4 linked regions of the Drosophila melanogaster genome follow. The gene in region 1 interacts genetically with each later gene. Each region holds a gene or a part of one and is shown on either strand. Other genes may lie near its edges. The genes, in order: sNPF-R, Galphas, Pka-R1 and CrebB.

What was found.
Region 2: of sNPF-R (region 1) and Galphas, changing one suppresses a phenotype caused by changing the other (phenotypic suppression), as found in Drosophila melanogaster (one study listed by BioGRID).
Region 3: of sNPF-R (region 1) and Pka-R1, changing one suppresses a phenotype caused by changing the other (phenotypic suppression), as found in Drosophila melanogaster (one study listed by BioGRID).
Region 4: of sNPF-R (region 1) and CrebB, changing one suppresses a phenotype caused by changing the other (phenotypic suppression), as found in Drosophila melanogaster (one study listed by BioGRID).

Annotation. Positions count from the first base shown.
Region 1 is NT_037436.4:20,086,001-20,090,703, forward strand, and holds the start of sNPF-R (short neuropeptide F receptor), read right to left. Parts: upstream 3,008-4,703; 5' UTR 2,870-3,007; exon of another isoform or gene 2,498-2,869; intron 1-2,497.
Region 2 is NT_033778.4:23,940,541-23,947,468, reverse strand, and holds Galphas (G protein alpha subunit s), read right to left. Parts: upstream 4,932-6,928; 5' UTR 4,868-4,931; exon of another isoform or gene 4,655-4,867; intron 3,493-4,654; exon of another isoform or gene 3,240-3,492; 5' UTR 3,005-3,239; coding exon 2,729-3,004; intron 2,663-2,728; coding exon 2,566-2,662; intron 2,510-2,565; coding exon 2,389-2,509; intron 1,774-2,388; coding exon 1,645-1,773; intron 1,572-1,644; coding exon 1,392-1,571; intron 1,333-1,391; coding exon 1,208-1,332; intron 1,032-1,207; coding exon of another isoform or gene 1,023-1,031; coding exon 949-1,022; intron 869-948; coding exon 722-868; 3' UTR 533-721; downstream 1-532. Other genes in the region: orcokinin, read left to right, coding at 129-378; Taldo (transaldolase), read right to left, coding at 5,455-6,229, 6,289-6,412.
Region 3 is NT_037436.4:20,817,107-20,821,998, forward strand, and holds the start of Pka-R1 (protein kinase, cAMP-dependent, regulatory subunit type 1), read left to right. Parts: upstream 1-1,858; 5' UTR 1,859-1,928; coding exon 1,929-2,363; intron 2,364-3,224; exon of another isoform or gene 3,225-3,617; coding exon of another isoform or gene 3,618-3,620; intron 3,621-4,892. Other genes in the region: Mst77F (Male-specific transcript 77F), read right to left, coding at 63-428, 491-772.
Region 4 is NC_004354.4:18,369,284-18,376,993, forward strand, and holds CrebB (Cyclic-AMP response element binding protein B), read left to right. Parts: upstream 1-1,700; 5' UTR 1,701-1,899; exon of another isoform or gene 1,900-2,323; intron 2,324-2,747; 5' UTR 2,748-2,849; coding exon 2,850-3,149; intron 3,150-3,750; coding exon 3,751-3,930; intron 3,931-4,003; coding exon 4,004-4,172; coding exon of another isoform or gene 4,173-4,414; exon of another isoform or gene 4,415-4,813; intron 4,814-5,965; coding exon 5,966-6,103; intron 6,104-6,559; coding exon 6,560-6,768; 3' UTR 6,769-7,534; downstream 7,535-7,710. UniProt on the Drosophila melanogaster protein: Isoform E is a PKA-dependent transcriptional activator. Isoform J is a direct antagonist of activation by isoform E in cell culture.

The sequences.
Region 1 (4,703 bases):
TTTTTTGGCCTGCATTAGGCTGCCCCGCAACCAGCTTGCTTCCCCGCGTGGCTCCCAGAGGACGCTGAATTATTGACAAAAGTTAAGTGAGCAACTGCACGGACCGAAATCATAACCAGACATCGACATCACCAGAGGTAAATTGAAAGGGAGCCCGGAGTCGAGCCGAATCGGGTTGGTTTGGGTTGGTTTGGGTTGGCTGGCTTGGTCTCTGGAGAAATTTGAAAATCCTAGCCACAAACGACTGACTGACTGACTGGCTGACTGGCTGACTGGCTGTCAATGGGGGAGGTAACTAGGGACACCGACCACCCACTCGAAAAACCAGATTACAGGGCGGCAATAGGAGCTAGACCAAAGACCAAGTCAAAGGCAATTCCATAGCCAACTTGGCAGTGCTGGCCTTGGGAATGGCAATCGTTTTATGGCTCCTTGGCTGCCCGGACTTACTCTGGTTGTACGGGAACTGAGAACTGGGGCCTCCATCGCTCAGATTGGCCGTAAAAATGTCACCTGTGACTTGCGACTGTGAGAAATCAAATAAATTCAAGCAGCTGGCCGGCTCTCCCCCCTCTACGCATTTCTTATCAAGCCCTTTGCCTCATAAACACACGAACATATAATGTGTATTTACATACACGCCTTTAGCCTTATGCATTATTTATGCAAAAGTTGGTGGCCAATAAAATGGCAAACGGTTTGAAAAAGCATACAAGCCAAGTGCTTGGAATGAAAATATCGGTTTTGGTCAGCGGTTCGACTAAAAAGTACCCTATCTATACTTTTTCAATTCAGTAATTTCAGCATATCAGTAAATATTTAATAAAAACCGTTTAACCAGCCCGGAATAAGTACTTCGCTTCCATTAAAGTTCCAAAATAAATATTTTGTTAATCCGAAAGCAGTCATAAGAAATAACATACGTTTTCCAACCAAATGCCAATGTTTTGCTTTGAGTTTTGGCTCTGCAAAAATATGTAAATGTTTTCATCGGAATGTGCACATCGCCATTACAGGGAAAAAGGAATTGAACAAATATTTCTCTAAAAATACAGTTGAGCAGAACTTCTATTTTGAAAAAATATTTGGTTTCGGCTAAACTTGCATAAAATTGGGAAAATATTCTACATTATAATATAAAACTGACTTCAATTAGCCGCTCACCTCGTTGGCTTACAAGTGGATAAAACAAATATTTGCAACTTTTACTTGAATTTTTTGGGTTCCAGCTGCTCAATTTGTCACTATTTCGTGGCCCAAAGTTGATTTAAATGCAAATGGGGGAGAATGGAGCTTGAGCAAAAGAGGATAATCGGGTGAGGATATCCAAGACACCATCTTAGCAATTTTCGCCCCAATTGCGAAATTTCGGCGACCTGAAATTGCCACAAAGACCAGTTTTAGTGGCCATCAGGCAGCTTTGGCGCGGTCTGATATGCAAATTGAAATGCGTTTTCCTTTTACTTAGATCCATGGTTGCTCCATTGCTTCCCCACCTTTGAACTATCGTAGGAGTACACCAACTGATGCTAGAATTGCATATAGAATTGCTTCGGGCTTGCGGAATCCTTGAAATGAGCACGCGTATCACGTATACGCAGTGTGCGTCTAAAGATGATCCGATTGAGGGGACTAACTTGGCTGAACTTAAACTCCGCAGGCAGAGTTGAGAACGAGTTTGCATGTGACACCAATGTTCCGCTAATAAGTAAATCAAAGCATCAATCATCCTAAATCACACGATTATCACTTATGACATCTGCGTCCCAAGACAATAATAATGATTAACGTTACGTATACAACGCAGCTAACTTGACCAATTTCCACCTGAACAACATGGTCATTAGCATGCGCCCTTGTTGGGCAAAGCAATCAATGCATTTGTTTATCGAATCAACAATTGATGGATGGCTGGCTGGCTGACTGACTGAATGACTGGCATCCATGTCAGAGGGGATCAATTAGAATCAATCGAAAGTTGTTCGGACTGTCTTTTGTTTATCGTTTCGCCCTACACTCGAGGACCTATTAAAATTAAAGGGAAATTTGCATTTTTAATTAAGGAACAGTGACGACTGAGCCATTTGACTTGGCCATAAAATGTAAACGGACTACGTGGCTCCCCCACCACCACTTTCGATTTCCTTTTAAATGCAATTGGGTTTTCCTAATGTTATCTTCTTTTGCTCTTGCTTTCCATTTAGCCTTCTTGTGCTGTTCTCCATTTTGCTGCTGCTAACTTATTTGTTTTGTCGCAAAACAATATAAAAGTTGAATGTTTTTTTCGGGACCTCCAGTAGGAGGCCCACCAGTCTTTTTTGGCAGCGGAAAAACTTTTCTTTGTGGGAGCGAAAGAAAAGGCCGCAGGAGAAAGTTGACTTGAATTCAATTTGTTCGGATCGTAATGAATATACTCGGGGTTATACATACATCGGTCTGGCCAAAAAACATGTCAAACTTATTTTCGAATACATTTGAGCGTTCCGCCCATACTCACCCCACACTGCGGGATGCTTTAATTTAATGATTTAATTTCAAACTGGCTTCCAGTAAGTTAATCTTTAACTCGCACTCTGGCCGTTAATTATTATTGTTGGGCATTGAGACAAACAGCGGAAAGGCGAAAAGTTTTGGCCCGGCTGGCCACGGGAAAAAGTACTAAACAGGGGGTATAAATAAAAACCGAAAGCTGTCGACCGCCGACGTGTCAACACCGCGTATACGAAATGTATATAAATACAGGGAGGGGAGAAACGGCTCGGAACACAAAAACCAAAAACCGCAAGGATGGAGGCACTCGAGCACGTTTCGGCACTTGTTTGGTCTCCCTTTCACTGCCTCGCTCCCACTTTCGCTATCAGTTCTTTACCGCACAATGAAAATATGTTTCCTTTGCCTTCCGCCGAAGAAAATTTTTCCTCTGTTTGAAAGTCTTGTTTGGGTTTTTCTTTCGGATTTTTCTGCCGATTTTCGCGTCCGTCGTCAACGAAGAATCACAGGCAACTGAACGGTCCAACTTCGTGCGGCTAAACGGCCGACCAACAGGTTACTTGCTGATAAGACCTCGTGAAGAGCCGAGCAACTCGAGTCGTTTCCCTCGCTGCGTATACGTTATATGCAGCATCGTCGGGCTATTACGTATACGCAGCGTTTAACTCACTCAATTGCAAGGGCTTTGAGTGGGCGAGCCAAAAATTGAGTGACTTTTCGTGTCACAAGTGCTGAGTGATTCATGTCAATTATCTGCAAGCCGAGCAGAGCTGAGTGGATGACAGTTTGCGCCCTGAAATGAGCCGTAAACCGCGGAATTCGGTAAGAGGAACTTCATAAATCCATCGCTGAAAGAACCACTGATGTCATGTAAAAGTTTATAATTCGGAATTTGTATCTAAAACCTTAAAGATCGATTTTCTTTCTGCTGAATTTGCAAGGAACTTACCGGCTCGCTAATATTATTAAATACTTTAGGTCTTCACAGGTTACTATATTTAAATAAAGAACTTAAACCAATATGAACAAAAATGTATCTCCTTCTTGTTTGCTTTAATGGGGACCCAACAATTAGCTAATCAAGCATTATATTTCATTTCTTTCGCACACAAGCAGATAGACCATAAATGTATCTCATCCAATTATCGCCATCAGCCTGTGCTTACCTTCTAAACTTCCTCATATATGTATTTACTTCCTACGTTCGTCACCTCATTTCGTCGCTTCTCGCAATTTTACACCCAGCTCTTTCGTCACTGCAATGGTATATCTAATTGTCCTTTAAAGTTGTAACAACTTTAAAACTTTTAAAACGAAATATTGATTTATAAAACTGATAAATATTTAAAATATTTTAATAGCTACGTGAAAAATATTCTTAAGTAATTAGGAAATAATTTTTTTAAATAATGAATACATTATTATATATATTATATTATTATAACTTTCTCACCACATCATGTTCCAAATAATAAAGAAAACCCAGAATGGGTATCACGTAATCCGAATACAACCTTAGTGTCCTTATTTGTTTTTTTATCTGTCGCCGGAAAGTTCCACAGGAAATCACAAGCAGTCAAGGGCGTTCGGAGAGGGCTACAAGGGATGTGCCAACTGATGCAGCTGCGATTTATTTATTAAAGCCAAGTCGACAAACAGTTTACACTTGGGACGAGACTCCTCCTCCGGAGCCACCGATTGTCGTCCCTTTTCCATCGTCCTCGGAAGAAGGCTTCATATTTTTAAGCACCTCACCTGACACATTTATGCTCTGCCAGAAGTGAAGTGAATAGTGGCCGCTTTTCAGAATCCCATCTCCCTGCGAAGCCTCACTCTTTAGTCCTTTAGCCGATTACCATAAACAATGGCAACTTTCTACCTGAGACGACTCATCCTTACTTTCAGACTGCGACTCATACTCTTAGGGGAAATTTGTGTAACATATTCAAGCGCTGCTTTCATGAATTTTTATTTACTTGCCAGGCATCTTTACCAACACGCACTCCACATACAAGCATACATACAGGCAGGCCAGTCGAACGCCCTGTTGACATTATCAAGTAAATCCGTGTTGCGCATACGCCTCGTAGGCATTTTAAGGAAAAACTCGAAAGATAGCACACTTCGGCAAGCAGATGCTCATATAGCCTCTCTGTAAATCTGTATATGTTGAATAAGAGCACCTTAATCCATCCCTTACGATTATTCATGTG
Region 2 (6,928 bases), on another chromosome or scaffold:
GATAACAGATCCGAATAATACGTGGCTATACCGGCAGCCAAAGTGCCTGCTTGCCCGCCTATTTGCCATTACTCACTGAACTCACTAATCCCCTTCCCAATCACTGAAACATATGCCCTGATCCCCAGATTGATTTCGGCTGCCAATGGACAAACGGTCGTCTGCTACGAGTGCAGCCAGTCGGAGTTCAAGACGAAGTACTCGGTGAAGCAGTGCGCGGCCGGCAAGATCGGGTCTGGCCATCACCGGGACCTGGTGCCCTACCTGGTGAGGATGGACCCCCTGTACAAGGACACCTGGAGCAGTAAGCTCAAGCGGAACTTCGACGAGATCGACAAGGCCTCCGCCAGCTTCAGCATCCTCAACCAGCTCGTCTAGTGATACCTTCGACAGCGCGTGAATGTAAATGCCCATGGATATGGATACGGACTCTGATAGCGGAAATACTCTAAAATGCTTCATGTCAAGGGACTATAGAAAATAAAGCAGGTGCATCCTGGTAGAATAGCCAAAATAATCGAAACAAGCGTGTCTGTTATTAACATGTTTATTTATTATTCTTTAATGTTGAGTTTTGTGAAAGGTCATACCAGATCTAAATGCAGCGAATTTTTTGTTTTAATCAAGGGACTATTTAAATACAAATTACATTTGATAATTATATTTAAAACAGTAAGTCATTAATATTTTTATTTACTTGCATTACGGCGATGGGGATAACCTATAACAATTCATATTGACGAAGGTGCATCCTTTGAATAATGTCTCTGCAATCATTAAACACACGTTTAATGTTTTCTGTGTCAACGGCGCATGTGAAATGTGGATAGCAGTAGTGTTTTCCGTCTCCGCTAGCGGTAGATATACGCTATATAAGAAAGAGATCCCATTAAGGATTAAGGCTAGTTAGATAGGTGGAGGAAGAAACGGAGATGTGATATAACCCACCAGAAACTCGTCTCGTATGAAATATTTTGCTCGTATTACTTCTGGGTCATCATTGGATTCCATTATTGCGTCACCTGTGTCGACAGCACATTTGAAATTAGACAAAATACATTATCCATTAAATTTCTTAAGTTAACTTGGGCACGGTTTGCAAATTTGAAAAGGAATTGCGAATTTCTTGGCCAGATCTGAGTCGGTTGATCTGATGACTCCCTCGCCCTCAATTGGCCTCTACTATGGGTTATACTATTTTACTTACTTGGCGTTTGGTATTTGTTAAACTCGGAGAAATATTCCGACAATTTACTTTTTCCAGCCTTAATTTTCTCTGCTAACAAATCTTGCTTATTTAAAAATAGTATAATAGAAATCGTGCGAAGCCATCTGAAAGAACAACTCGTTAGTTTCCATTTGTCGAGATGGCGCCAAATTGCTCGGTTCACCTGTTGTTCCAAATACTCTTGAACAAATCCAAAGATTCTCGAAGTCGGTTCTGGGTGGGATCTTCCCGCAAAACCATGTTATAACTTGAGCACGCAGTTACGAATATGATAGCAGTTACATCATTGAAACACTGAATCCATTTCCTACGCTCGTCCCGCTGGCCACCGACATCGAACATGCTGCACGCGAATGCACATCATTAGAATGGAATAGAAACTAAAATATTGCGATATCACTTGGGATTACACTTACTGAAAGTTTACTTTGTCCACTTGAAATCTTGTTTCAAATATTCCAGAAGTCAAAACACGGCACCGAAGAATATCCTGCTCATTAGGGGTGTAGTTTGGATTCTTGATTGTGCTCACTCGGTCCAGGAAGCTTCAAAGCAGAATATCAAGTGTAGAAGTAAGTACAAATTCGGTTTCAGTGCCTTAATCAAGCTTAGATACAAGTACAAATGCGGATTAGCTGGCATAAACTACGGAAAATTGGGACTTGGTGTTTAGCAACTTGTTTCTTCGGGGAATTAAACAAAAAGCCTTCTCAACTTGGAAAAGTATGATCGTTACGATACTTCTATGTGCATGGCGTAGTTGGTACTACTTCGACTACTAGCTCCTTTTAAGAATTGGACTCATTCTAAAACCCATATATTGTAGTAATTATTGTACAGACAGACAGATATGGAATGCGAAAGTAGGTTTAGGTTGTGGTTCTACTTTCAGATAGTCATACTGCAGCAAAGCGACGATATTTAAAGTTTACTTCATCAAGCGGATTACTTGTTAGAATTAAAAGTTGCATACTTTCGATCCAACGCATTGAATTTCTGCACTTCCAAGTGAAACACATAGTTAAGCTTTCAGAACAATTGGCATGCACTCCGAGATGAATTAAATTAAACAATTAAATCTGTTTGTAGTGCTACAAGAACTATTCGTTTGGCTCAACACATCGATGGCAGGATGTTAAATGTGGGTGGGCATTACTTACTATTTCGCACAATCGATTAATTGATACTCATTCGACCTCTCATAGGTTTGAAGAACGCCCTTGTCTTTCCATAGTTCTTCTGTATGTTCATAAAATTCAGGAGGATAATTAAAGTCCGGACCTGCGGGGCAGATAATGGTTGATAACAACTTAAGTTGGGGCGGCAGAGGCTCTTACTAGATGCATAATCCTGAATGTACTCCACTCTGGGTTCATTTTCCTTCTTTTCTAAAGCTACAGGTGGATTAAGTGTGCTCATGGCTCCTGTAATAGTCTGTAAGGGATTGGCAAGGAGTTAAGCAAGTGTTTGGGCTTAGATGGCCGGCGGGATGGAACTCACCAAGATAGCGTCTCGAATATTCTTTTTAATATCATCAATTTTCTGTTTCTTTTCCGAGTCAGAAAATCCGTCGACATGCAATATTCGCATTTGCTTGACTATGGTTGATTTGCCGGACTCGCCCGCCCCCAGGAGGAGCAGCCTGTGTGTGGCCCTGTAGAGCTGTTTGTCCTTCTGCAACTGTCTAGATATTGCATCGCTCCGGCGCTTCTGGCTCTTCGAGTCCTCCGAGTTCACGTCCGACTGCTTGGAGGTGGGCGACCCAAAGCAACCCATCGCAGCCCACGGGGTCCACCAACACGTCGCTCGGTTTTCCTGGTTCGCGTCGGGCGACTCGGCACCCCTTGTGCTTTCTCCGTTCTGCTCCAGTATAGCTGAGTGCTTGGGTTCCTCGGATCAAACCACAATCCCTTGTGTGCTCGTCGGTCTCCGGTCTGCGATCTCCGATCTCCGATCTCAGTGGCACCACCGTTGGCGTTGGCTCAGCGCTTCAGTGGATCTCTGCAGCAGGCTGCATTCGTACAATGGTATAGTAGATGGAAAAATGAGTAACAGAACTTTCAGAACTAACGATCCTCGAGCTTTCTATTCCCACTAACTGAGATTCTCCAGCAGAAACCCATTTCGATTGCATAGAATCCCGAATCCACTTCAGTGCCCCCATATCATCCGCGTACGCGCGAGTGTAGCGACCAAAATGGGTGCCTACTAAGCCAAGGCGACGCCGCTGACATTGCCGCCCACGAAAGTCCCGTGAGTCACTGGGTTTCGGGTCCCAAAAGCGCTCGCATAGCATCGGAATCGGAATGAAAATCAAAATCAAAAATTACTCCACGCAACGCGCGTTCATTCGCGTTGGACATTCGCGTCGGACGATTGGAATTCATCACATTCATATTCACATCCATATTCACAGCCATATTCACATTCTCATTCACATCGACATCCACAACATCGGCGTAGTGTAACAGGTGAAGAAGGGGGCGGAGAGGGTGGCACTCTCGCGCATACTGGGCAGCAGGTACGCATGTATATAGAGATACCAACCCAACATAATTCCATCTGCAGTTGAGGCTCGAATGGAATGGATGGGTCCGATACGCGGATTCGGATTCGATTAGCTCGTATGTGGGTTTACGGATGAGTGTAGGCACGCGAATATTAAGAGTATTTAATCTAGCAATTATTGCCGACCGACGGGAGTCGCAGGAAGATGAACGTACTATACCCTACACATATACCTATATAGGCGGAGGGGGTGGTGGCAGATATGCCAGATATGGCAGATATGCAGATTTTAATGTAAATATATGTACATAAATTCATCGGCATCGGAATCGGGATCTAAGCGGGCACGGACACGGACACGGGCACATATATATCTCACAGATATGAGTACACACCGTTGTGTATCTACTCGTATATACGTGCGTATGTATTTAGATATATACACAAGTTCTCGGTTCGCATGTGTGAATGGATGGATGTACATAAATAAATGTATGTACATATATCAATACGTAGTGCTCCGTGCCTCCGAATCCGAAATATTTGCCATTTCTTTGACACTTGGTTAGAAAAACTATATTATACCTATACCATCGCGAATCGGATCGAATCGAATCGAATGGAATGGAATCGCATCGCAACGCATCTGCTTGGATTGGTTTGGATTCGAATGGATTGAATTCGATGGATGGGATTGTATTTTGGATATTCATGCGCGAACGATTTTTCACTGATTTCAGGTTTAAGGACATGGGACGCAGGTCGCAGGTCGCAGGACGCAGGACGTCCGAAAATCGGGAGGTCGGTCGAGATCGAGGGGCTGCAGGGGCGAATCACATCTCTGCGCGATGGCAATTACGTGTGCGAACGCGACTATTCCCTGCGTTCGACAATGGTTATTGTTTACCGTGAAATTACCGAACATTTTTATTCATGGGAGCAACTTCGGGCCAAGACTATAGGTGCACGACTCGGTTGGGAGCGACTTTTGGGGTCTGAAAAACAGGCAATTCTATCGCACCCGACGCGCCAGCCACTGTTTTCCGGATTCCCAATGTTCTTAGTCTCTGTGTGCTCGCAATTCATCAATTTGTAGCTTAAAAATTACTTTTAATACCAGTACTAACTCACTTTTTATATATTTTTTATTTTATGTATCAACCTAGGGATGCAACGAAGTAGATACTTTTATCGATAGTCAGTCTGCCTATCGGATAGTGCGGGCGGTGATGTAGATAGATATGTTACTGGGCCAAAAACATCTATGCCAAATGACGATGTGCTATTTTAGCGAATATTAATAATAAAATAAAGTATCCCGAGCTATGTAGAATAGCGAAATCCAGAAACACCCGTCCGATACTTTACATAAGCAGCCGTCTCTACAGGCTTACATAGATATTCTACACGGGCGTGTAGAAAACATGTTTGAAGTTGTTATGATAAGGTATCAAAAAAAAAGTATCTTTATCTGTGATATAATTTGCAAATTTTATTTATTTTGTAAACTTTTAGTATTTATTATTCGTATCCATATCTGCAACGAGTAATCATGCTATTTGCATGCCAAACCTATTCACCCATTTAATAATTTCCATAACTCCCAACTGAATCTTGTCATCTCTTTTAATTGTAGTGTTTATTAAAGTATAAAATCATTGTCTTTTTCAAAAACGAATGTATTCATCCTCCACCTGCTAGCGGACCCAGAGGAACATCTACTTAAGATAGGTCTTAATCAAATTCTCCAGCTTAACAGTATCCACGGCGAACTTCCTGATGCCCTCGGAAAGTTTGTCGGTGGCCATGGCGTCCTCGTTGAGCAGCCAGCGGAACCGGCTCTCATCGACGGTGATCTTCTCGATGTCCTGCAGCTTGGCGTTGCTTACGGACAGGTAGGTGACCACCGACTCGGTCTCGTTCTCCAGCTCCTTAAGCAGCGCTGGGCTGATGGTAAGCAGATCGCAGCCAGCCAGGGCCTTGATTTCGCCCACGTTACGGAAGGAGGCGCCCATGACCAGGGTCTTGTAGCCGAACTTCTTGTAGTAGTTGTAGATGTTCGTCACGGAGATCACGCCCGGGTCCTTGAGCGCCTCGAACTTCTTGGTATCCGTGTTGGCCACGTACCAGTCCAGGATGCGGCCCACGAACGGGGAGATGAGGGTCACGCCGGCCTCGGCGCAAGCCACGGCCTGTGCGAACGAGAAAAGGAGCGTCAGGTTGCAGTGCACACCGTGCTCGTTCTCCAGGATCTCGGCCGCCTTGATGCCCTCCCAGGTGGACGCCAGCTTGATCAGAATTCGCTCCTTGTCGACGCCCAGGGATTTGTACAGGGCGATCAGCTTCAGGGCCTTCTCCACGCTCTTCTTGGTGTCGAAGGACAAGCGGGCATCGATCTCGGTGGAAACGCGACCGGGCACAACCTTCAGGATTTCCGTTCCGAACAGCACGCACAGGTAGTCCATGGCCTCGGCCACCTGCTCACTCACGGAGCTGCAAACGATGGTATTCTATGTAGCTTTGTGTGGCAAACACCCAAGTGAACTGCTTACCCCTTCTTGCCCTTGGCGTATTCCACCGCCTTTTGGACCAGCGGCTGGTACCGCTCCATGGACGAAGCGGACAAGATGAGGGAGGGATTAGTGGTGGCATCCGTGGGCTTATAGATGTTGATGGCTGGAAGCAATGTGTAAAGTATTTGCATAAGTGCGGGGCCAAATTACATTGCGAATTTTAGAAAGACCTCGAAACCTGTTGAGCGACTTTCATTTTTCAATCGCCCGACCGAAAATATCTTTGAACTTTTCAAATGTCTGAGCAGGTTTGGCACTCTGCTCCGAAACCTTATCTCTGGTGGCATTCTATAGTACACTTTACTATAGCGGTCACATTTCTAACACACGTAAGCACCAAAGGTCAAACTAAAGTCAGCTCGGATTTGCTTTTCACTTTTATTTGATCTTCACTGCGGCAGACACGACGGATCCGATGGCCCGTCGTTAATGTTTATCTTTTGGATAAATCCATGTATCCTATGTATCTTTGGACTCGGATTCTATGTATGCTCTATATATGTATGGATGTTCGAGCTCAGACTCGCATTTCGCTTTAGTTGCATTTCTGGATTCCCACTTTTGAGGCAAACTTACGCTAGCTTTGAAATCGGACTCATCTTGTTAAGAAAAATACCTT
Region 3 (4,892 bases), 730 kb from region 1:
CCTGATCAATAAAAATGGCCGAAAAGTGGTGTAGGAAAGGGTGTGGAAGATGAAACCTCCGATTACATCGAGCACTTGGGCTTGGAGCTCTTGGGCTTAAGACACCTTGGCTTTGCCTTCGCCTTGCCGCATTCCATCTTCTTCCTGGGGCGGGGACATGCCTTCCGGGGTCGGGCGCCCTTGGGCTTCGGTTTGCCGCAACTGCGACGTTGCTTCGAGGTTTTCGCCCGTGGTTTGGGGCAACTCTTCCGCACCCTGGGCTTGGAACACTTGTTCTCCTTTCTTGGAGTGCAGCTATTGGAGCCACCGGCACCGAAGAAAGTGTCTGCGCAGCCACTTATTTCAGAGTGCATTCTGTGCTCGCCCTCACTAGAACGCTGAAGACTGCTCACACTGTTGGGCTCTACATGAAAAGTGTCCAATGGTTCCTGCGGAAGTGCATTACGATTGCATACATGTGCATTTCGTTTGTATTCGACACCTAACTTACCGCAGAATACTGGCATCGATGACGGAATGACATTTCGTTCCATCGGGTTTCAGCAGCCCGTCTTATCTCGTTATTCGAGTAATATTCTCCGTAGCGCTTCTTAAAGTCCCTCAGAAAATTAACAAAGCCAGACGATGAGGCGTATTCGTCCTCTGCCCTATTGATATCTTCTTCAATGTCGGAGGCGTCGGAATTAACATATTCAATTGATTTTTTATAGGTTTTCACTGATTTTGTTACTGCCACCTCCGGCTTGCTATCCTTTTGTTTCAGATTACTCATTTTGCAACCAATTCTTGCTCGACAGAAATTTTCACAAACAAATTTGTTACTCAGAATTATACAAAAAAAAATTATATATGTATAAAAAACTGTACTCAATTTTATCGAAATATTTTAGTTGTTCCTCGTTCAAAGGTAGTGTACTAACTGTTTGTATGCTGGCTTCAGCGTGGAGACCTGGAAATTGGATTTGAATGAAGGCTCAATTCTACTATGATCAAGAAAAAGTTCCTTTTTTCAAACCAAGTTGGCTGTTTTCAAAGTACATTTCGCAGATCGGCGCCATATTTCCATGGTTATTTTTGTATACTATATTCGTTCAAGATATTGTAGGAGAAAATGTTTAATGTTTCTTGATCAGTATCAGTCGAGCTGGCCATATTCGTCCGTCCGTGTGTCTTGAAAAAGGTTTTAATATTCTGTTTGCAATCCGACTAGCTGAGTAACGCGTATCTGATATTCACGAAATAGAATAGCGTACTTCCTTGTTTTCAATGAAATGAAATGAACAAATATTTTACAAAAGCAATACTAAATGTTATATTATAATCTGAACAAAATATGTAAGAAATACCAGAAATGTCGTTGGTGAGGGAAGGTGTTTAAATTATCCTGTGCGACTACGTTCCTTTCCGGGGTTTCAACCACTTGGTAAGCAACAAGCGGCATTTTGCTGGTTAATGCTGCCGCTTAAACGAAAATCAATACAACTTGCGGTCTATTTTCGAGCGGATTGTTAAAAAAAAAACCCATCCATAGGTGGATTTCCCAGCACGGATGCTTTATTTTCGGCTTCCTGCTTCGGAGAACTGTATTCCCTCTGTTCATTGTGAAGCTTTAAAGTTTATTTTGTGAGACAGGCTGCAGCAAAAGCTTGCAATGCTGCAATGTAAATAGAGCAGCGCACCTGTGGAGGTCCTTTCCACATCGTCCTGTTCCCCCTCTCACTTGCCAAGCGACTTTCCTTACCCCTTTTTCTCCCAACTTTGATTTTGAGTACGCCTGTGTGTGTGCGCCGGACTCTCTGGGGCAAGTTGCCTGTTGAATGCCGGACCCGCTGTCAGTTGGATTAGCATCCTGACGCCGTGCAGAAGCATCCTGCTTCCACCTAGTTCACTCCGTTCGTTTGCTTTTTATTTGTTTGCCTCCGCGCGCCATGGGCAACCAGTTGAGTGTGAACAGCATCCAGGATGCGGTCATCGATCGCTTCCGCTCGGTGGCTTTGACCACCGATGCCAACGGCGCCATGCGCATCCGTTCGTTTTCGGAGGGCGTGGTGGCCACCACCCACCATCATCATCAGCATCAGCAGAATCAGCAGCAGAGTCCCCATTGCAGTGGACGCGGCGGACGCATCCTGCGCGAAAGTAGCATCGATGGCGGGGTGGCCATGTTCGATGCTCTGCTCCGCGATGATCACGAACATCGGCTGAGCTTGGATGCAGTGCATCGCATGCGGCATGTTCGCACCTCCTGCACCACAATTCCCGAGGAGGATGCCGTCAGCGATCGCAGCCTGCAGATTCATCTCTCCACTCTGGCCCGCGAACGTGAACAGGAACTTGAGCTTGAGCGCCAGCGGGAACGCGAAGTAAGTTGGAAAGTCGGAAAAGTTTCCAATTTCCGGAAAACAGTAGGAAATCACTAGGAATTTGTGCTGAAAAGCTTTTGGCGGAAAAAAGATTTAAAGTGTGGGAGTGTGCGCATACTAGAAAGCTTTGAATCGTTTGAAATTGGTGTCTTGTTGATTCGATTTGTGACTACAAATCACGATGTCGTTAGTTCTAACACAAATAAAAACATGCAAAAAAATGTTTACCTTATTCCGCGAGCACCTAATACCCTACTTAGAATATAAAAATTTAATAAAATATGAAAAAGTTTGCTATGTTTTACGTTAAGGCCTTTTAATTCTTTCAAAATATCTTTCGTATCTGAAGAAAAAGAACGAACAGGAAGAAAATGTTCACATTTTATTTAAACATTATAAATTTATTTTTTGCAAAAAGGTAAATGGAAAGGGGTTAATTTTTGGGATACAGTAGAATATAGTAACCTAAACTATATACTAATTTAAAGAAAGTGCATTTCATAATGCCCCACGAGCTGCTTTTTGCGACAAAATGTCGAGTTTGCACTTGAAACTCGAAGGGAATTCTAACGAAATCAAAGCGCTCCCTTCGCTTTCCCTTTAGCACTTCTGGCCCTTTTCTCCCGTAAAAGCTTTTCCCTTTGCCAGGACTTGCGTCACAAGTGCGAGTGTATGTGTGTGAGGTGGTGGGCGGGTGTGCGAAAAACTTTACTTTTTGGCCAGTCGTATTTGTATGTATATATTTGTGTATATATAGAAAGGTTGCCTTCGCTGGGCGTGTTGGTGAAGGTCATCCTGTCGTCGTCGAGATTGTGTTTGTGTCTGGCTGCTAGAGTTTGCTTTCGTCCTTTCGTTTGTCTCAGTCACTTTTTGGCCACCGTCAGTTGCCCATCGTTGTTCCCAATTTTAGTTTTTTCGCCAACTTAACTGCTCAATTTACTAGTTACCATTCACCTTTTGCGGTCGTTACTTTTCGACTTTCTTGCCTGATTGATGGCCACGCGAATTCCGCTGCTCCGATCATCGAATTGTCCGGTTTAACGGTCGTGTTAATGCCGCTTTTACGGCTGTCATCGCTCCGTCCGGCGCTGTTTACGCCGGCTTCTGATTAACAGCGGAATCGTGCCAAAAACTACGCCGGACACTTTGTCCCCAGTGTCCGCCATAAAGTACAGACAAACAACAATCAATTGTGTTGGCCAAACGAGGTTGGAAAAGTGCCAAAGCGGAAGTGACAGGAACTCGACCAGCGAAATGGTGGGTAAAATTCGAAGTGTTAAATACGGTTAACTTGGTAAATATTTCGGAAAGAATTGGTTTCAATAGCGTTTTTATAGTGAGGAAGAGAAAGGGTCCCATTGCATTAACGCTTAAGAATCCTTAATCTTTAACATTCAAGTATTCATTCTTCTTCCGTTCCTTCATATTTCTATATTATCCCATTGAAAGGTATACAATTCTCATTTTTAGATATTTATTAGAACTCAAAGTTGTTAATAGTAATATTACTTTCCGATTATCGAATTGCCATCAAGGTATAACTGGATACATTTTTCTTCCAAGCTATATAAATAGTCTCCTTGAGGAAAAACAAATTGACAACATTTTTTTTTAATGAAAATCAACAATTTTAAATGAAATCAACACTCGTATTCTATCCAATCTGTTTGTTTCCTTCCAGAACGCAAAGCATTTAACATACAATTCCAATGAAAAATTTCCCCGAAATATGGCCTCGAATTATGCTCTGTTTACTTGATTAAATTGTTATTTTACTACCTTTTATTTCCTTTTTATGCACTCGCATCGCATTAAAACGATTTCTGTGATATTTTTAAGTGGGTCCGATGAAAGCAATTTATGAGCTCAAAGAAGCTGGGGTCGGAAAAATCGAATTTTTGAAATTTGAAAGCTGGAATCGTTTGCCCATTTTTTGCCCATGTTTGCCCACCAATTAGTTTTTTTTGCCCACGTCCAGTTTTTGAGATATGAATTTTCGAAAAAGTTCGAAAATTTTCGAAAATCAAAAATTTCGCTTTTTTCAAAATTTTTTTTTTTAAATCGCAATAACATCGTTTGCCCACGTTTGCCCACCCTTTAGAATTTTGAAAAAATTTATACTTTAGAAAATATAAGGCTTTTAAGTTTACCTCGGTCTAATCAGAGAGTAAATCGTTTGCCCATCTCTTAAAACCAAATATTATCAACAAAAAAGGTTTGCCCAACCATTATTATTAGTTTTTATCGTTTGCCCACCCTTTAAAAAACCTTTAACAAAAATTTTTTTTCGATTGCCCACATTTAAAATACACCCAATTTCGTTAGCCCACCTCTTTAAAATAAAAATTTCCAATAAAAAACGTTTGCCCACCATTTAAAAATAAATAATTTCGATTGCCCTGCGCTCTTTAAAACTAAATAATTTCGTTTGCCCATCCTTTAAAATTCATTTTTAACGTTTGCCCACCCTTTAAAAATAAATTATTTCGTTTGCCCACCCTTTAAAATTTGTTTTTTTCGTTTGCCCAC
Region 4 (7,710 bases), on another chromosome or scaffold:
AGAAAAAGCGGTTTGCCAAATATTAATATTTAAGCAACTATTCACGCAAGATAAAGTTAATAGAAACGACATTCTTTATTACCTTAACTATAGTTAGGCAAATTGCCCTTTTTTTGCTTATTATTATTTTAAAATTAATAACTTGAAAAACTATTTTTATTGATGAAGCAATAATAACTTAAAATTAACAGCTTTGGTTATGGTGTTTATAGTTTGAATTAATATATGAAATTTTAAAGTTGGGTTTAAATTATTGTGATACATTTTGAATTGAATTGAATTGAATTGAATTGACCGTAGTACAAGCAAAACTTCAAATGGAAATCGATCTTAATTTCTTTCTGTGTAGGCGGTGTGTATTTTGGTATGCAAGTCCGTTTTAACAGCCAAAACACAAGCCGCATATTTCAGCCAATTTATGGTCGGGCTCTCAACGGCTATTGTGCTGACCGCAGGTGTACTCAGTACATATGTATGTACATATGTACATATGTATGTATATATGTATATAAGTGTATTAGAAGTGTAATATGGGAACCGCATTTGCAATTCCTTTCTGCGGCCACCGGGCAAACTTCATTAGCCAGTGATGTCAGCTGGCGCGCGGAGGTAATGCGGATTTGGACAGTGAGTCAGTCCACGAGGTCGGTGGTTCAGACAGTCCGGCATTTGGGGTCCACAAGGGGGAGGGGTGAGGTGGGTGCTGGGTGATGGGTGGTGGGTGGCGAAGGGGCTTGGAGGCGTTTGAGGGTTCGTGCGACGTCGTAATTAATGGCAATTATTATGTCACTCAAAGGGAAGTCGATTGAAAAAGCAGCCTAAATAATGCAAATGGAATTGGAAATTATAATTCACAGAGGGAAAGTAAACGGGGGCACAGTCATTGCACTAATTAACTATTTATTGAGAGCCCGTTGCAGGCTTCAAATAATCTCGAGTCTGTTTTTAAGGCTTTAAGGTTTTTACGCCTCAAACTTTCCGGCTAGTTTTCTCGCGATGACGTCATGGCCAGCTCATGTAGCCAATAGTTATTCGGCTGTAAAGTAATTAGCCGCGAACATCATTTAGGCTAATTGTTTTTTGCACTTATGTGAGCAGGCTGTTTTTAGTGGTAGCGAAATAAAAAAAAGAGCAACAATTTTTTTCTGTGACCAAAGTTTCTAGTTTTTAGGCGCGCTAAAATCTGCGGTTCTATAAACTATTATGAAAAAGTAATTATTTTGCGATTGCTAATTGTTAGTTTTTAGTGCTACTGAACACCTCTTTTTGTTGAATTAATAGAATAACAATACAATTAGTGATTCATTAAACGGCCAACAATGGACTTGGAATTAATTTCGGTTACAAATGGAAAATAGAGATATGAAGTTGAAATAATTTACATACTTGTAGATGAATAAATAAAACCGAGGAAAATTGATTTACAACCTTCATCTAAGTATTAAAAACTTAAAAAAAAAACCATAACAAAATGAAGTTTTAAAAGTTCCCGCAGTTATAGCCAAGCTCCGCACCACGAGCTTAGCCAAGGTTTCAACCGGTGTGGTAGTGTGGAGCCTTATTGTTGCTGTAGCTTGTTGCTCATTCCGCAGCCAGGGTCACACTTTATCGAGCAGTTTTCTGTGAAACAGCCGATGTGTGACATCGATATCAAGCAAAACATCGAAACACATCGCCCCAAAACATCGCTGTTGGATGCATCGATGTTATTTTACATCACTAGGCGAGCGAGCCAGCAATAAGCGAACGATTTTTGCGCAAAAACGGTCTTTATCAATAAATCGCTGCGCACGATCGCATTGCCGTGGAAAACGCGTACATTGTCGTTCGAAAGCCGCCAAGCCAGCGTCTTTGCCGCCAAAAGAAACGCGTTTCGGTGCTGCAAATAGAAAAAAGAACGTAAGCAACGATAACAACAGGCAGTGAGAGCGAGCGAGAACGGGAGAGAGAGAGAGCGAGAGAGTGTTGTGTGTGTGCGTGCTGCCAACTTGTCGCACCAATTCGCTGCTGTGCTTAAGTGTGCGTGTGTGTTCTGTGGGGTTCTCCCAAAAAGAGCAAACAAATACGAAACCTTTGCGCGATGCCATTCGAAACGTATCTGAAGTTTTAGGGTTCGAACTTCGATTCGCTTACTCTGCTGCTTTATACATAAATATTTATTTGGTTGGACACCGCGACTTTTCAACAAGTTGCCAGCGCAGCGTGCAACGCGCGTACACACACACACACGCGCCCAGGAAGGAGTGAGAGAGAGAGAGAGTGAGCAACGGCAACAACAACAAAAGCCTCTCAGCAGCAACGTTTTTAGTGATGTCATCAGAAAGTAAGTTGATTTTTTCGCTGTGTGCTGTGTGTTTTTCTGTTTTTTTTGTTGCCTCTTGGCACACACACAAACGCACACGCACACAAGCGCGCGCAACGTTGTCATGACGTCATTCAACCGAAATACTCACGACTCGGTGTTGTTGTTATTGTTGCTGTTGTTGTTGTTTTCCTTTGGGGGAACTTGAGTTCCATCAGTCAGCAATCGGCACCACAGCCACAATATAATCATCGTCATCACAACGCACACTCGTCATCGGCCCAAAACAAAAACGAGCCCATGCCAATCCCGCCCAGAAACAGAAATTGAAACTTAAACTGAAACGGATTCCGATCTGAATCGGTATCACAAACTGGATGACAAATTGATAAACCGTAAAACTGACAGCGTAATCCAAAAGCAATCCAATCCAATCCAATTGTAGAAACGTCTTCAAGCTGGCCAAATTGAAGCGGAAACGGTAGCCAAACTGAAGCACTTGTCGGAGAGCGTCTCGGTGCTGCTGAAGATCGCCAGGATCGGCAACATGGACAACAGCATCGTCGAGGAGAACGGCAACTCGTCGGCGGCATCGGGCTCCAATGACGTGGTCGATGTCGTTGCCCAACAGGCGGCGGCAGCGGTGGGCGGCGGCGGTGGAGGAGGAGGAGGCGGCGGCGGTGGTAACCCCCAGCAGCAGCAACAGAACCCACAAAGTACAACGGCCGGCGGTCCAACGGGTGCGACGAACAACGCCCAGGGAGGCGGAGTGTCCTCCGTGCTGACCACCACCGCCAACTGCAACATACAATACCCCATCCAGACGCTGGCGCAGCACGGACTGCAGGTGAGCATTTGGGGACCGGGTGCTTGGTGTCAACTGTCGAGTGTCAGGTGTTACGGATCCCAGCCAGAAGTGGCTACCAAGGATGTTAGTGCAGAAGCACTTCAAAGCCTCCTTTGGTATGGGAACTGAGTGTAGATAGGGATAGTTATTACCGGAAATAAGGCAGCTTAGTGTTCTTTAACTAATAGCAAACAAACAAGTACAATACTGTTTATTATAAAGTTTTATAAAGTTTACTGCATAGATTATGCATCCATCATTTTTCAATCATTTCAATACGTTTCTTATTCTACATCCCTAAAATCGATTTCGTTTACCAATGTATATATTAAATGGGGTATGACTATATGGACTACATAATACATATAATAAATCTTTATAGTTAAGCTTCACAAAAATTGATATAGACCATATAGCTGTTATTAGGATGTCGACTACACTTACACATTCACAGGACTTTTAATTTTATTCATTAGAATATCGAGAATTTGCGGTGTTTGTTAGTTACACTACAGCCTACAAAACTTACTATGTCAGTCCCGTTGAGGCCAATAACCCTGACCGCGAGCGTTTCTAATGTAGTGACCTTCTATATCCGCAGGTGCAGTCCGTGATACAGGCCAATCCCTCGGGAGTCATACAGACAGCAGCTGGAACCCAGCAGCAGCAACAGGCGCTGGCCGCCGCCACAGCGATGCAGAAGGTGGTCTACGTGGCCAAGCCGCCGAACTCGACGGTCATCCACACGACGCCTGGCAATGCAGTGCAAGTGCGTAACAAAGTGCGTAGAACGGGGAGCACGGAGCACCCGCCGAACCGAACTCTACTAATGAACTCGATCACCTCGCACACAGATCCCTCCAACCTTTCCGTGTAAGATCAAGCCCGAACCGAACACGCAGCACCCGGAGGACAGCGACGAGAGTCTGTCGGACGACGATTCCCAGCACCACCGCAGCGAGCTGACGCGACGGCCGTCGTACAATAAGATCTTCACCGAGATCAGCGGTCCGGACATGAGCGGTAAATCCGGGGGACGATCTCTCCACCAGTCACACACCCACTCGAACACATCTCTGTCGCTCTTTAAACCACCACATCGCCTAACAATCCAATGCATCGTCGAGCTGATCGCCACTCATCGTTCATTTCACGATGCACTTGCGCCTGGCAATCTTTCGACCATTCCCAGCAACTCTCATAACGCTGGGGAATCGGTCAGTCCATCAGACACCATTCCATTCTCAGTGTTTGTAACCCCATGATCGATCACCTTTCCCGTTCATCTTGTACAGTAGCTGTTGGCTAAGTAACACTGTTAACACTCGTTGTAGTGCGCTTTAGCAAATGATCCATATCGAAATGATTAGACGAGAGGAATGTACTGTAAAATTATACTCTTGCCACAAAAAGTGCATTTACAATTTTATCAGAAAAGTCTAAGGTCCAAGTTGCTCACTGGATCCTTATGAAATCTATATTGTAAATATACAAAAGGAAAACATTTGCAACATTCATTACGTTGCTATTGTTTATAAAGCAATATATGGTTCTCCTAGTGCAATAAGATTCTCTAGCCAAAACCTTGCCCAGCTAAAAAGTAACGAAAATGTGGACAGAATAAAAAAAAAGCATTAAATATACATTTCCGAAGCTTTCCATTTGAAACTATTATTTTCAACCAGAACAGAATAGAGGGTTGTTTATTTTCTTACATAGTTTCTTAAAAATATAATGAAACAGAGGAAAGAGGTAGAAACTAATGGAACCCAGTTAGCTAACATTGTGTTTTTGTTTGGATCTCAACTGTATTTGTACATACAACACATAGATTGTGAAGGACTGCCAGCCTTGTCCTTTGTACATCATTAGGAATGCCATTTAGGGCAGCCGTACAAGCGGGAACCCCGCCCCTTTCCACCACCCCCATTATCATTTAGTTGATGTTGTTGTTGGTGTTGCTTTAACGAAGTGAAAATAATGAAAGAAAAACAAAAGGCCGGAAAACTTGGCCCGAGAAGGAGCAGAAAAAGAGGACGCGTTGTAGAGATTCCACGATTTTCCAATTCTCCCCTGTAAATAAACCTCTCACTCGCACACACACACACTCGCGCACAACTTCACCAACTCACACACACACTCACACATATGTACATAGACAGGGAGGGAAGACAGCAAGAATAATGATTAATATTTACAATAATTTAAGCATTTGAACTATTGCTGCTGTCTTCTTGCCCACAATTCTCTATCTCTCTCTCTATCGCCCTCCCCTCTCTCTCTCTTTCGCCGCCTCTCTGTCGTTGTTGTTGCTGTAATCGCTGTTGTTGTTGTTGTTGCCGTTGTTACACACACAACCCATTATGCCAAATATTAAATAGTAATGAAGAAGTACAAGCAAACGTCTCACCTAACAGTACTTTAACCGTTAATCAAAAGCTTTTCTCCACTCTCTTTGACTAACCAATCTACCTATCTCGCTCGCTCGCTCGCCGTTCTCGCTCGCACACACCACTCAAGTTCATAAACCAACCAACAAAAAAAAACCAATCCGAATTTTCAAAAGCTTCCAATTGAAAACTGAAAAATGGAAAATATGTTTTCTTATAATTTTTTTATTGTTGTTTTTTTTTCATTGTTTTCTTTTCGAACGCCTTCCTCCACCCAACCCACAAAAATAAAAAAACGATATATAAAATTCGATAATGTTCTGAACAACAACTGCAACAACAACAACAACAAACGACAATCAAAACCCCAAACCGAACTCGAATCGGAATCGAACTCGAATCAAATCGAATCGAACCCCATCCCAGGCGCATCGCTTCCCATGTCCGACGGCGTGCTCAATTCCCAGCTGGCGGGGACCGGAGCGGGGGGCAATGCGGCGAACAGCTCCCTGATGCAATTGGATCCCACGTACTACCTGTCCAATCGGATGTCCTACAACACCAGTAATAGCCTCGCTCCAAAACTAGCCTTTAGTTGCGACTTGGCAGGACCACTCGTAAATCGAACTGGAATCGAGGGTCTATCAAATTGAAGTTATCGAGTTATCGAGCTGAATGTAGGCGATGAATCAGCGTCCATGGAACTGCTTCATCGCCTAACTGCAGCATATGGACTCAAATGATTGTAATTGATAACTTTGATAATGCTCCATTCCATGCTGGCATTATTTTCGTTTTTATTCAAATTGTTTAGTTGAACATGGATGGTGTGTTCAATCATTTTTGCATGCAATTTGTGTTGACATCGAAGTGAAACCAAATCCAAACCATCAATGACTATGAAATCCAGTTCAGTTCGAGTTACAGAGAGTTCCGCTTTGGGAGATGTGCACACACACATCGCTTACAGCCAGCTGAATGACTGATTATCCAATCCTTGAAAACTTTTTCCTTTTGCAGACAACAGCGGGATAGCGGAGGATCAGACCCGTAAGCGCGAGATCCGGCTGCAGAAGAACAGGGAGGCGGCGCGTGAGTGCCGGCGCAAGAAGAAGGAGTACATCAAGTGCCTGGAGAATCGAGTGGCGGTGCTAGAGAACCAAAACAAAGCGCTCATCGAGGAGCTGAAGTCGCTCAAGGAGCTCTACTGTCAGACCAAGAACGATTGAATGTGGGCGGGGCTCTGGCGCCGCCTGCGCCTCCGCCTCCAGTTACGGCTACGGTTACGGCTACGGCAACGGTTACGGTTACGGTTACGGCGATCACTGCGCTTCGCTCCGCTCTGTTCTATTCCGTTCTGTTCTGGACAACAATGGTGGATCGATCCTTGCCGCTGGCCGGTCGCATATCATGATTTCTATACGCATGGGATGCTGCATGTGGTAGCGTGTACATTAACTGTGGGGATCGTGTTGTTGTTGTTGTTGGGATGCAGACGGGCCGAACCGGACCAAACCTAATCGAACCGAACCGGATGGAAGGGACAGAGGGTCTATCTGCCGGACACACAATGTAATTATGTTTGTAATTTAAAGATGTAATATTATGTTTACGATTTAGTTTATGCCCTAGTTTACTCGCTAACTTAACGATACTGCAGTTTACCTACGAACATGTGTTTCCGTAACCTAAGACCTTTCACCACACCCCCCCGCATGCACACCTTACCTTACCTTACCTTACCTATTGTAATTAAATTTTTTGTTTTACCTAATTCGTAATCGATGCAGCAGAACGTGCGTGTCTAGCGAAAGTGTTTTTTCTTAGCGAATTGTTGTTGTGTGCCCATATGTCAGGATATAGTCAACCAGCAGGTTGCCCAATCCACCAGAGTCCTTTCTAGATGGGTTTTCTGGGCCTACCAAATTAAAATTGTTCAAAAGTCGCTAGTTTCACTTGATTTACATATGCGTGTGCGTGTAGTATGTATATATGCGTGTGTGCCGGCCAATGTGTATCTGTAGAATTAGTCTTAAATCGAATGGATGAATTGATTGTCTGGGATTTGGGCATGGAGTTAAATATTCAAACACTTTGTTACGTAATTTTAAACGAACCCTCTCCGCTCCCAAAGAACCTGGTTAAGCAGACAATTCTGCACGCTACCGTGA